Arabidopsis thaliana: one gene and its partner. The protein of the gene in region 2 interacts with the protein of the main gene of each other region in a pairwise test. Each region holds a gene or a part of one and is shown on either strand. Other genes may lie near its edges. The genes, in order: SCL3 and ISU1.

Evidence for each region.
Region 1: the proteins of ISU1 (region 2) and SCL3 interact in binary tests that used the Arabidopsis thaliana proteins (3 or more experiments, as listed by UniProt).

The regions. Positions count from the first base shown.
Region 1 is NC_003070.9:18,676,948-18,682,330, forward strand, and holds SCL3 (scarecrow-like 3), read right to left. Parts: upstream 3,354-5,383; 5' UTR 3,057-3,353; intron 2,816-3,056; 5' UTR 2,679-2,815; coding exon 1,230-2,678; 3' UTR 747-1,229; downstream 1-746. Other genes in the region: AT1G50410 (SNF2 domain-containing protein / helicase domain-containing protein / zinc finger protein-like protein), read left to right, coding at 21-230, 314-418; DWF5 (Ergosterol biosynthesis ERG4/ERG24 family), read right to left, coding at 5,228-5,294. UniProt on the Arabidopsis thaliana protein: Probable transcription factor involved in plant development.
Region 2 is NC_003075.7:11,758,392-11,763,141, forward strand, and holds ISU1 (SufE/NifU family protein), read right to left. Parts: upstream 2,667-4,750; 5' UTR 2,491-2,666; coding exon 2,193-2,490; intron 1,805-2,192; coding exon 1,750-1,804; intron 1,204-1,749; coding exon 1,053-1,203; 3' UTR 712-1,052; downstream 1-711. Other genes in the region: AT4G22217 (defensin-like protein), read left to right, coding at 234-309, 388-575; AT4G22230 (defensin-like protein), read left to right, coding at 3,901-3,976, 4,064-4,266. UniProt on the Arabidopsis thaliana protein: Scaffold protein for the de novo synthesis of iron-sulfur (Fe-S) clusters within mitochondria, which is required for maturation of both mitochondrial and cytoplasmic [2Fe-2S] and [4Fe-4S] proteins.

The DNA of each region.
Region 1 (5,383 bases), on a different chromosome or scaffold from region 2:
TGTTTTTTTGTCTTAAACAGGTAAAAGTGATGATAATGTCTTTAAAAGCTGGAAATCTTGGGCTGAATATGATTGCTGCATGTCATGTCATTCTTCTTGATCTATGGTGGAATCCAACTACTGAAGATCAGGCTATTGATCGAGCACATCGTATTGGACAAACTCGACCTGTTACTGTAACTCGTATTACGATAAAAAATACTGTGGAGGATAGAATTTTGGCTCTCCAGGTAAAGATCCCTTATAGCTGATACTTGTTTCCCCCCTCAGTTTCTCTCATTTGTGGTTGTGTGATTTTTGGTTATTATTATAGGAAGAGAAAAGAAAAATGGTTGCGTCTGCCTTTGGTGAAGATCATGGTGGAAGCTCTGCAACTCGATTAACAGTTGATGATCTCAAATATCTATTCATGGTGTAGCTGTTCTTAAATCTTGGGTTGGCGAAGTTTCGCTTCTTTCAGAATTTTGATCATGAGCTGCATTCTTGTGTTCTTCAGGTTCACAGATTTGAAATGAGGAAATATGTAAATAACTTAGCTGTTGTCTCATAGTATATATAACATCAGAGTATATACTTTTTCTGAATCAGTTCATCCGAGATCTTCTTTCCTTTTGGGATCACATTACTCTTTCAATCTTATTATCAAGGTGTTTTGATCATGCAACACTTTTGCATGAGAAACACTCTGTGAATTTGCTAAGACAAGATAAAGACTAGATTGCTTAAACAAAATTCAAATATAAATGAAGCAAGAAGATTAGGTTAAACTAGATTCAATGTAAATGAAGCACGTGAACTTTAGGTTACAAAGTATTTGGACAGCAGATAAGTCGTATACTCTTTGGATAGTGAACATGTCCTTTAGTAACCTAAATATATATACCGAGTTTAAGTTATTTACAATACACAAATGACAAGATCACCTGCTTAAAGATAGGCAAAGTTTGGCTGGTCTCTGAAAGAATTTGGAGTTCTGAACTTGAACCGATCATCAAATTAGTTATCTTCAGCTCAAATTGGATTTGGTTTGGTATTACACCCACACCAGACCAAATTGAACCAACACACAAAGGCTTTACATGCAGAGGCAGTAGAAGCATTTAAGCCAAAATAGCATAAAGAGACAGAAAGTCACCATCACAAAACAACTAAGATTGTGTCCCCATGTATACAAAAAAGAAAGGGACTCTGCTCATAACCAAAATAGAAGACAAACTGTAATATATCATTCACTTCCTGCATCTCCAAGCTGATACCGAGTATAGAGGTCGATCTTGCCAGCAAATTACTGCGCACCCGCTCTCTTCCTTGATTCTATACCCATCAAAACCGCACCCTTGAAGCAATCTCCTAGCCTGCAACATCGCATAATAGCTAAGAGGAACATTCCCAAAACCAGCCAAATCGATCCTCTGGCTCCATTTCTCAAGCTTCTCGTGTCTTTCTCTTCTCTCAAATCCCTCGCAGGATATGATGTTCTTGATCTCCTCCCCGAAGAGCATCTTCTCCACTTTGATCCTATCTTGAGACGTTCTTGGAACTTTTGTTTCCAAGCAATCAAACAATGCTGCGTAGGTGTAAAGTGATTCTAATAGCCTCTCCATTAGTGTGGAGCCGTTGTGGTCTGAGTCTTGCTCAGTGACCACCATGACCTTTGGAGACAAACCCCAAATAGCATTGAGGAAGCTATCAGTCCTTCCTGAACTTGGTAAAGGCAAAGATGAGGCCGAGTCACCGCTAGGGCTATACCCATTGTTGTTACTCATATCATTCTCACGTGCCTCAGCTGCAGAGCCATGGCTCATCATTAGAACTCTCTGCAAGTCAACTCCACTAGGGTTGTTCTGAAACCGTAAAGCGCAGTTCTTTCTCATGAGATCATCATCAGAGGCCAAGAAGGTATGCAATTGAAGAACCGAGCTAACGGCTAAGGCCTCTCCTGTTTTAACCCGCAACTGTTCTACATTTAAACAGTCTAACCTACTCACAACGGGATTAAACTGAAACGGGATATCGAGTTTCTCTGCTTCCTCAATGAGTCTATGAGCCATTTGTTCAAGCACTTCCTTCTGGTGATGAACACCAGTGATTCTCAAATGAGGTGGACCTTCAGGCCTAGAGTTAAAAGCTTGAAGCAAAGCAAGCCATTGAGCTGGCTCAGAAGCATCGAGATCAATCACATGAACCATCTTCTCTCCTTCCATAGCCTCGAGTATAGCTCGATTAGTGAGCAAGTAAGAGACTTTGAGTATCGGGAACATCTCAAAGAAGAGTCTTCTAACATGAATCTCCTCAGAGACATTGTTAGTTCTTGTCTGAGTTGCGTTAAGAGCCTTGTAAAGACCAGGCCAGGACTTAAGGATTCTGTTAGCAAGCGCTTCGGTGAAGTAAGCAGCGATTCGCTGCATCGTGTCGCCGTCAGGAGAAGCGAGGTGAGAGAGCTGCTCGAGCGCTGCGTTAGCGTTTTGGAGGCTACCTGAAGCCACGTGGTTGGCACAAGTTAGCAAGAGGTGGATTAAGTAGAGACCACGCTCCTCTGGTTTGAGATCTTTGAGACAATGAAACGGAGATGAAGAAGCGAGGAGAGTCGGTCTGTTGAGTGACATAGTTGAGAAGACTTGAAGTGGTGATGAAGCTACAGAAGATGTTCCATTATCTTCTTGAAACATAGCCACCATTGAAGGCCAAAAGCTTGATTTTGATTTACTCAGAACCAAAAGTAACCTTTTTTGTAAAGAAAGATTTAAACTTTGAGAGACTCGTAACGAGAAGAACCAAACCCACGATTCGGAATTTCTTGAAAGATGCAGAGAATCTGCAGTTTAACAAAAAAGGGGGTTAAAGAACAGAGGAACTAGGGTTTGCAGAGAAAGTACTGAATTTTAAAAACCTTTGAATCTAGTTAAACTATTTGAAATAGATATAGACGAAGAAACACAAACAGAGAGCTGAATTAAAACTTTCCTAATTTGATAAACTAAGAAAGAAACAAAACAAAATAATAGCAAATGATCAAAGAAGATAACAAACAACAATAACCAAAGAAAAAAACTTACATGGATTTAGAGAAAATGTCTAAAGCTTTTTTTTTGGGAGTGAGAGGGTTCTCTCAATCTTTATCTCTCTATCCACGTCTCTGGTGGTTATCTTGTGAGTAATAGCGTGTGTGTGAAATGTTGTTTGTGTTTTGGGAAAAAACTTTAAGAAAGAAAACACTAAAACAGAGGCATTGTTCCTTTTGGCTCTACGTACCAGACAATGCGTGATAGTCGGTTTTGTCTTCTTCCTTTTTGTTTTTTTCGTTTCCTCTTTCTTCTTTCCTTGGTTTTAAGGAATTATTAAACAAAAGGTTGTCAAATTTTCCAATCCCATCCATCTATCTTATACTATTATGTGTACTAGTACTACATGAATGAATATCATATAAGAATACGTATTTTGATTTTGAGTGCTCTTAAAGTGGTGTAACATTAATAAATAAAACTGAATGAGAGTGTATTAGCTTATGTTGCATTTATAAATAAAACTGAATAAGAATACATCCATCAATCTTATACTATTATGTGTATTAGCTAATGTTGCATTTTCATTTTCTTTTAAATTTGTAAGACTTGTAGGAATTAGTCTTATTGATTATTTTTATAGTTATTATTTTATATAAAGTCAAGATAAGAGAAGTTTCACCTAGAATTTTCTTGATTTAGAGGAACTAAGAAGAAAAAGCAACACTTAATTATGAAGGAAGAAGAAGTTCAATGAACCCATTTGGCATTATACAAATTGGAATTATCTTATAATAGATACATACACGAATACAACATATATGTCTGTATTCGAGATTGGAACCTCCACTTTTATGGGTTTTTGTCATGGCATGAGGTGGATTTGGAATCATGACTATATATTTCTACATCAAAAAAATTGTTAAAGAGAAAAAAAGAAAGCTGTTTTGGTAAAATATTGATTCTGAGAAGAAGGAAACGTCCAAACACGCCCTAACAAAGACAAAACAAAACCCAAAAACCATCTCTTTTGTTTTTGTTGTTTTGTTAGAAAAACAAATAACAATAAAAGAGATGAGGCTGAGGCTTGGGTGTGGGATTTGTCTGTCTTCTTTAAATGTTCATTGTCTTTTCATTACTTTTCTCTTTGTCTTTTTCTTCTTTTTAATGCCTACATTTTTGTCTTCTTCTCTTCTTTCTCTCTCTCTTTGTTTTTTACTGTGTGAGAGAGAACATTATTCAGTTTTTAAACTAAAAAGACCATTGACCAGAGAGATTCTACAGAAAAAGAATGATGCTATTTTACTACTATTGTACCTCAACTTTTTTTTCATCTTATCAATAGTAAAATAGTACTATAAAGTGAGAAAAATATGCATCCATAACAACACAGTAAAATTGTTTTAGTATGAAATTTGTTTAGCTTTGACTACAAATTAGAGAATGGTAAGTTTTTGTTATTAAAAACTTTGTAGTTAGATCTCATGATATCCAAACATAGAATCACAATTTTGCTGAAGGAGCTTGGTACGAAGACCGCCTCAGAAGTAAATGATGGTTCTGTTTTAGCAACTTTGGATGCTGCTACTCGGGTTGAGCTTCTGAGCTCCCCTTCTTATGTCTTTTTGTTTGAGCATTTGTCCTCGTAGCTTTTTGTGTATACTCTCCACGTGGAGGCAACTCTCGTTTAAAGTTGAATGAAATGTTAGTTTGACCAAAGAAAATAAAAAATAAAGAATCACAATTTTGTGAAAACTGTGTAATAGTAGTTTTGTGGATCCTCCAGAACACCAATTAAGTCTAAAAGTGAAGTCAACTTGATAATGTCGGTGAGTTCTTTGTGATTGAAAAACTGAAAGAACACTATCAATTCTTTGTGATTATTCATGTATTTTATAGGGTTCAAGTTCAATTAGTGCCTGTACTTATAAAAGACTTCATTTGATGTAGTTAAAATATTAGATGGATGAATCAACTTATTTGATGCATTAAGAAGCAGTATAATCAAAATATCAAATAATAAAATTAGAAAACGGCAGGCTAACTTTGATAATCTAGGGAAATACATAAGTGTAGCTAGAGATTTGAAAACCTATAGCATACAAATCAGCAAAAGAATGTCTATCGCATCAATTTGCATTTTTGTTTTGGCACGGTCTTTTGATGATTCCAACGTTCGAATTAACGTAATAAGTAGAAAATGAGAACAACAGACTTCGTTACAATCAATAAATTCCCGGAATGATCCTGTATTTGACTTTCTCACAATACAGCTTCCAATATTTCCCATACCTTTTTACCAAAACAAAACCCGAATATTGTCAGCAAATCAGAGTAAGATCAAAGAGGATGTGTAAAATAAATCATTTAGATTTGGTGCT
Region 2 (4,750 bases):
TAGTTATGGACATATAGCGAGCATATTTCACGTTAAAACTTAAAAAGTATTGTAGACGAGATGGATAATGTTTGATTTGTGTCTAGAAAATATAATTATAGGCGAGGTGGATCACATCGTGGAGACTCTTAATTAGATATTAATAATGTAGAAGTAGTGAAGAGAAAATGTGTTTGGTTGAGACGTATAAATTGAAAGCCTTTTGCTGATAAAATCACAAAGAGAGATCAGCAATGAGGAGCTTGAGGTTGAGAACAGTTGTTGTTGCTACAATAGTCGTTTGTCTATCGGTCCTCCTATCTCCCACCGGTACGTAAAATCAAGATCTCTAACTACATAGATACACAAGTTTTTGTTATAAATGTATGTGGCTGTTCGTGTCGACAGAAGTGGATGGAAGCTGTGACTTCCCATTAGGTGCTTGTACTCCTTTCCGTGATTGCAAGGAGAGTTGCATCAAGTTCAAAACGAGGGCTGGACAGACTTTTTTTGATGGCAAGTGCCGTCCAAGGGATAGGCCGAGCGTGTGGACGGCTTGTTTCTGCTGCTATTATGATAGTATCGGTGCTCAATAAGAAAACATGTGATTCCGAAACCATATAATCGACATCGCTTTGTTCTACTCTGCTTTGCTTTTGTTTGTTGTACTCTGCTTAATCCAATAACAGAGATAACGTTTCGAATAAAGGTTGGATGTTTTGTGACAATTCAGGAACAGAGAGATGATAAGTCAAGCTACACCCACATAGTTCCATGCAGAGAAAATTATAATGTCAAAATTGAAAATTGAAAATTTGTCTGTCAAAGTTGTAATTTATAAACCTCCCAAAGAAGAGAGAAAACATTACATCACATCGGTGCATAAAACAGCAAAAACTACAGGGCCGAAGCAAAATCATTCTTACACGTTTCTGTGAACAGAGTTTATTCTAAAATACTCCTTAAGTCTTGAACATTACAACATACCATAGGTTGTATGTATCATCCTCTTCTACTTCTCCCCTGTTTTCACCATCATATACACATTATGGTATACACACTAGTAAAAGGAATCAAGCCTGTGTGGTTTCTCCTGCTGCTGCAGCACCATTTGTCTTCACACGCTTCTCCTTGTAGTCTTTCACAGCTGCCTTGATAGCGTCCTCCGCCAACATACTGCAGTGGAGCTTGACTGGTGGGAGAGAAAGATGCTTTGCGATTTCGCTGGCAAAATAAATCACAGAAAGAGAAGCACACATTCAGAGTAAGTCTTCAGATATTGAGAAACTCCATGACAGAAATCACAATGTTTACTTTGTCTAAGAAAAAGAAGTCAAGAGGTCTGCATCATTATAGGCTGGAAAACCTTAAATACCATACAAACCAAACCAGTAACCAATCTCAGACCAATTGACCAAAATCCAGTAACTAAGTTCATCTAAACAAAATAATCACATTACTTCGTCTCAGGTATGTCAACATTCAATGAGTGCAGCAATTAGATAACACGAGTGTTCATATTTATGTTAAAAATCTGCAAAACATGAATAGGAACACAGGGCATACTAACCAGCAACCAATATTGTACCAACAGACAAAGTCCAGTGACCAAGTTCCTCAAAACAAAATAACAGTCATGAAACACAGTAACTGGTATATCAACATTTAATGAGTTTAACCAATTAGACAACACTGATTGGCATAACACAACAACTCACAACAGATTATGTTAATATCTGCATAAAATGAATAGAAACAGACGGTACTTACGTGTTTTTGATGGTCAGAACATCCTCCATAGCTTTGCCTTTCACCCATTCAGTGGCTGAAAAAAACGTAAAAATGAATCATACATTAGATAACAGCAACAAATCCCCAGAGAGAAGATAGCTCCCACATAGAAGCTAAGCCAGAAACTGACGACATCGCATCAAAAAGATGAAATCTTTCTCAATAACATTAGGAGACTAGGAGTATTACAAATTCAGCATTGAATCACCAATAAAAACGTCTCAACTGACCAAATCATGCACTAATTTGTCATTAACGACACCAATCCCAAATTTGAACACCGAATCTCTACACGAACCCATCAATTTAAAACCTAATTTCTCCATTTGAGAAAGACTAATCAAAATCCCTAATTGAAATCATTTAATTTCTCTAATTCAATCCTCAATCGAACAAAACACGAAATTAGAATATAAACATACCAACAGATGAAGAAGCGATGGCTGAACCACAACCAAAAGTCTTAAAGCGAGCATCAACGATTTGACCAGTCTTCTCATCGACCTTGATTTGAAGCTTCATCACATCACCACAAGCGGGAGCTCCTACGAGTCCCGTACCAACGTTGGGATCATTCTTATCGAAAGACCCAACGTTGCGGGGATTATCGTAGTGGTCGATGACGTTCTCATGGTAGGTTCGGAGGATACCAACAGACCACGGTGTTGATTGACGTGACGTAAGCCCTAGGGCCTTCTTCGCAGCTTGCTTGAGCATCATCGTGTTTTTTTTAGGGTTTCGGAAGTAACTTTTGCTCCGCTGATTTTGGTAATGAGAAATGAGATCGGACTTTTCCTTTAAGGGTTGTGAGAAGAAGTCGGTTTGGTTTCAGACAGAGAGATAAGCGAGGGGACACGTGGACGGTTTAGATGGTTCTGAGATATTTGCTATTTCTTTTTTCTTTTCTTTTTTTCCTTTGATTTTTTCTTTTAGTATTAGCTAACTTGAGACGCTAACCTAAACTTTAGATTGAGATTTTGATAAGTTGACTTTTTCTTTTCAATTATATTTTTGATATCCTTCAAATGTTATAGTTTATAAGACCTATCGCTCATAAATCGTACTTTTCAAGTTTACAATTGAATCGGAACATACTTCTTTTACGCAAACAATAGTCATGATGATTTAGTATGTGTATAGAAAGTTCTCAAATTTCAAGTGATGAAACAGTCTATTTAAAATTAACCTTAATTCATTAACGTATAGTTAATCATAACAATTAAACCTATAAGTTATAGGCTATAACAACATTATAGGCGAATGTCTTCGTCTAGATAAGTTGTGAGGAGCCATCTACGACTGTGCATTGTCCTATGGTAAACATATATTTGGTTAATGGTTGATCTTGATCATTTGAAAAGTCGTTTTGCAACATTAACAAATATATTTGTCTGTTATTTTTAGACGGCACCACCGGAACGGATTGGAAGCAAGATCAAGTAATAGATCTGAGATTTGGAAAGCTTCTCGTGAAGCGAGTTAGATAGCAAATTAAGTTGAGGATTGAGAAATATGGATTTTAAAATATATTAATATGTATTTTTTAAAGTAGTACATATAGATTCGTAAATATAAAGTTATTTTAAGACACGAGTTCATTATGCATCTATACCGTGAAACATGTGGTACCGAGAAACAAACAAAAATTTAAGTTTCATTATGCATGCAATTGGTTTCAGATATAATATTTTTTTTTGGACAAAGGTTTCAGATATACTAATAAAAAGCAAAAACAAACAAACAAATATGATTGAAGGAAAAATGAATCAATGATGATGATGAGCGCTTGGTCTCCGTTGATTTAGCATCTACCACTTTCTTTGGCATTGTTGATTAGTATCTAAAAGTTGACTAATTTAATGAAGAAATCAAACGAAAGATTCTAAATATCTATCTTTATCTACACAATACAATAGTATTGATCATCTACAATAAGAGTCGGGGGTGTATTCAGTTAACTATTTAAAATGATTTGTCTTAAAATCATATATCTTACGTCATTTTAATCCCAACGACTTGTCCAGTGCTAGCTATAAATTAAAAACTCGCCTTTTGCCTAAATGAATCAATCACAAAGAGAGAGAGGGAAACAAAATAGAAAGAAAGAAGCTAAGAACTAATAAGCAATTAATGGGGAGCTTAAGGTTGAGCACAGTCGCTATTGCAGTAGTCGTTTGTCTCTCCATTCTCCTCATATCTCCTACAGGTACGTAAAAAAAACCAAAGTCTTTGATCCCAAGATCTAAAATAAAACATGTTTATAAAATGTAGTATCTTCCTATTGATTGGACAGAAGTAGATGGGAGGCAAGTGTGTGACTACGATAAAGGTGAATGTAATAGTTATGAGAAGAGCTCTACTTGTATTGAACCATGCAAGCAATTGGACAGCAAGTTTATTGGAGGCCGATGCATACCTGTTGGTGGTATTACTGGTATGGGGTTATGTGTTTGCTGCCGTGATGTACAGCGTGGTGCTGAAAAGGAAAGCATGTGATTTGCAAATGATACAAAACGACGTCACTTTGTGTCTGTGTTTTGCGATTTGCATGTTAATGATTTCAGCTCAAAATCTATATTTGAGTGTTTGCCTTCTACAGATCTGTTTGTTTTGAATTGTCAAGTCTTAAATAAAGTTGGATTGTTTTCCGATTATGACCTGACCTATTCATCATATTTTTTTATTTTTTTTATTTTTGTCTAATTGAAATCTAAATCGGAGGGGAAAAAATCAACAAAAAGAATTTTATACGAGTACATTAATTCTTGCAAATGTTAAATTATCCGTCTTATGATTTATACAAATAAGAATTGAATTAAGGGAGAAACTGATAAATACTTGTTCCTAACAAAGTTTAATAGATGTGTTGAGAAAACACACTTGTCCGTCGGTATAGACACTTATTCACCAATTTAGAACAATATGTAGATGTAGTTAGCTAGTTTATTAACTATAGTTTTTCTATTTAGCTAATTGATTT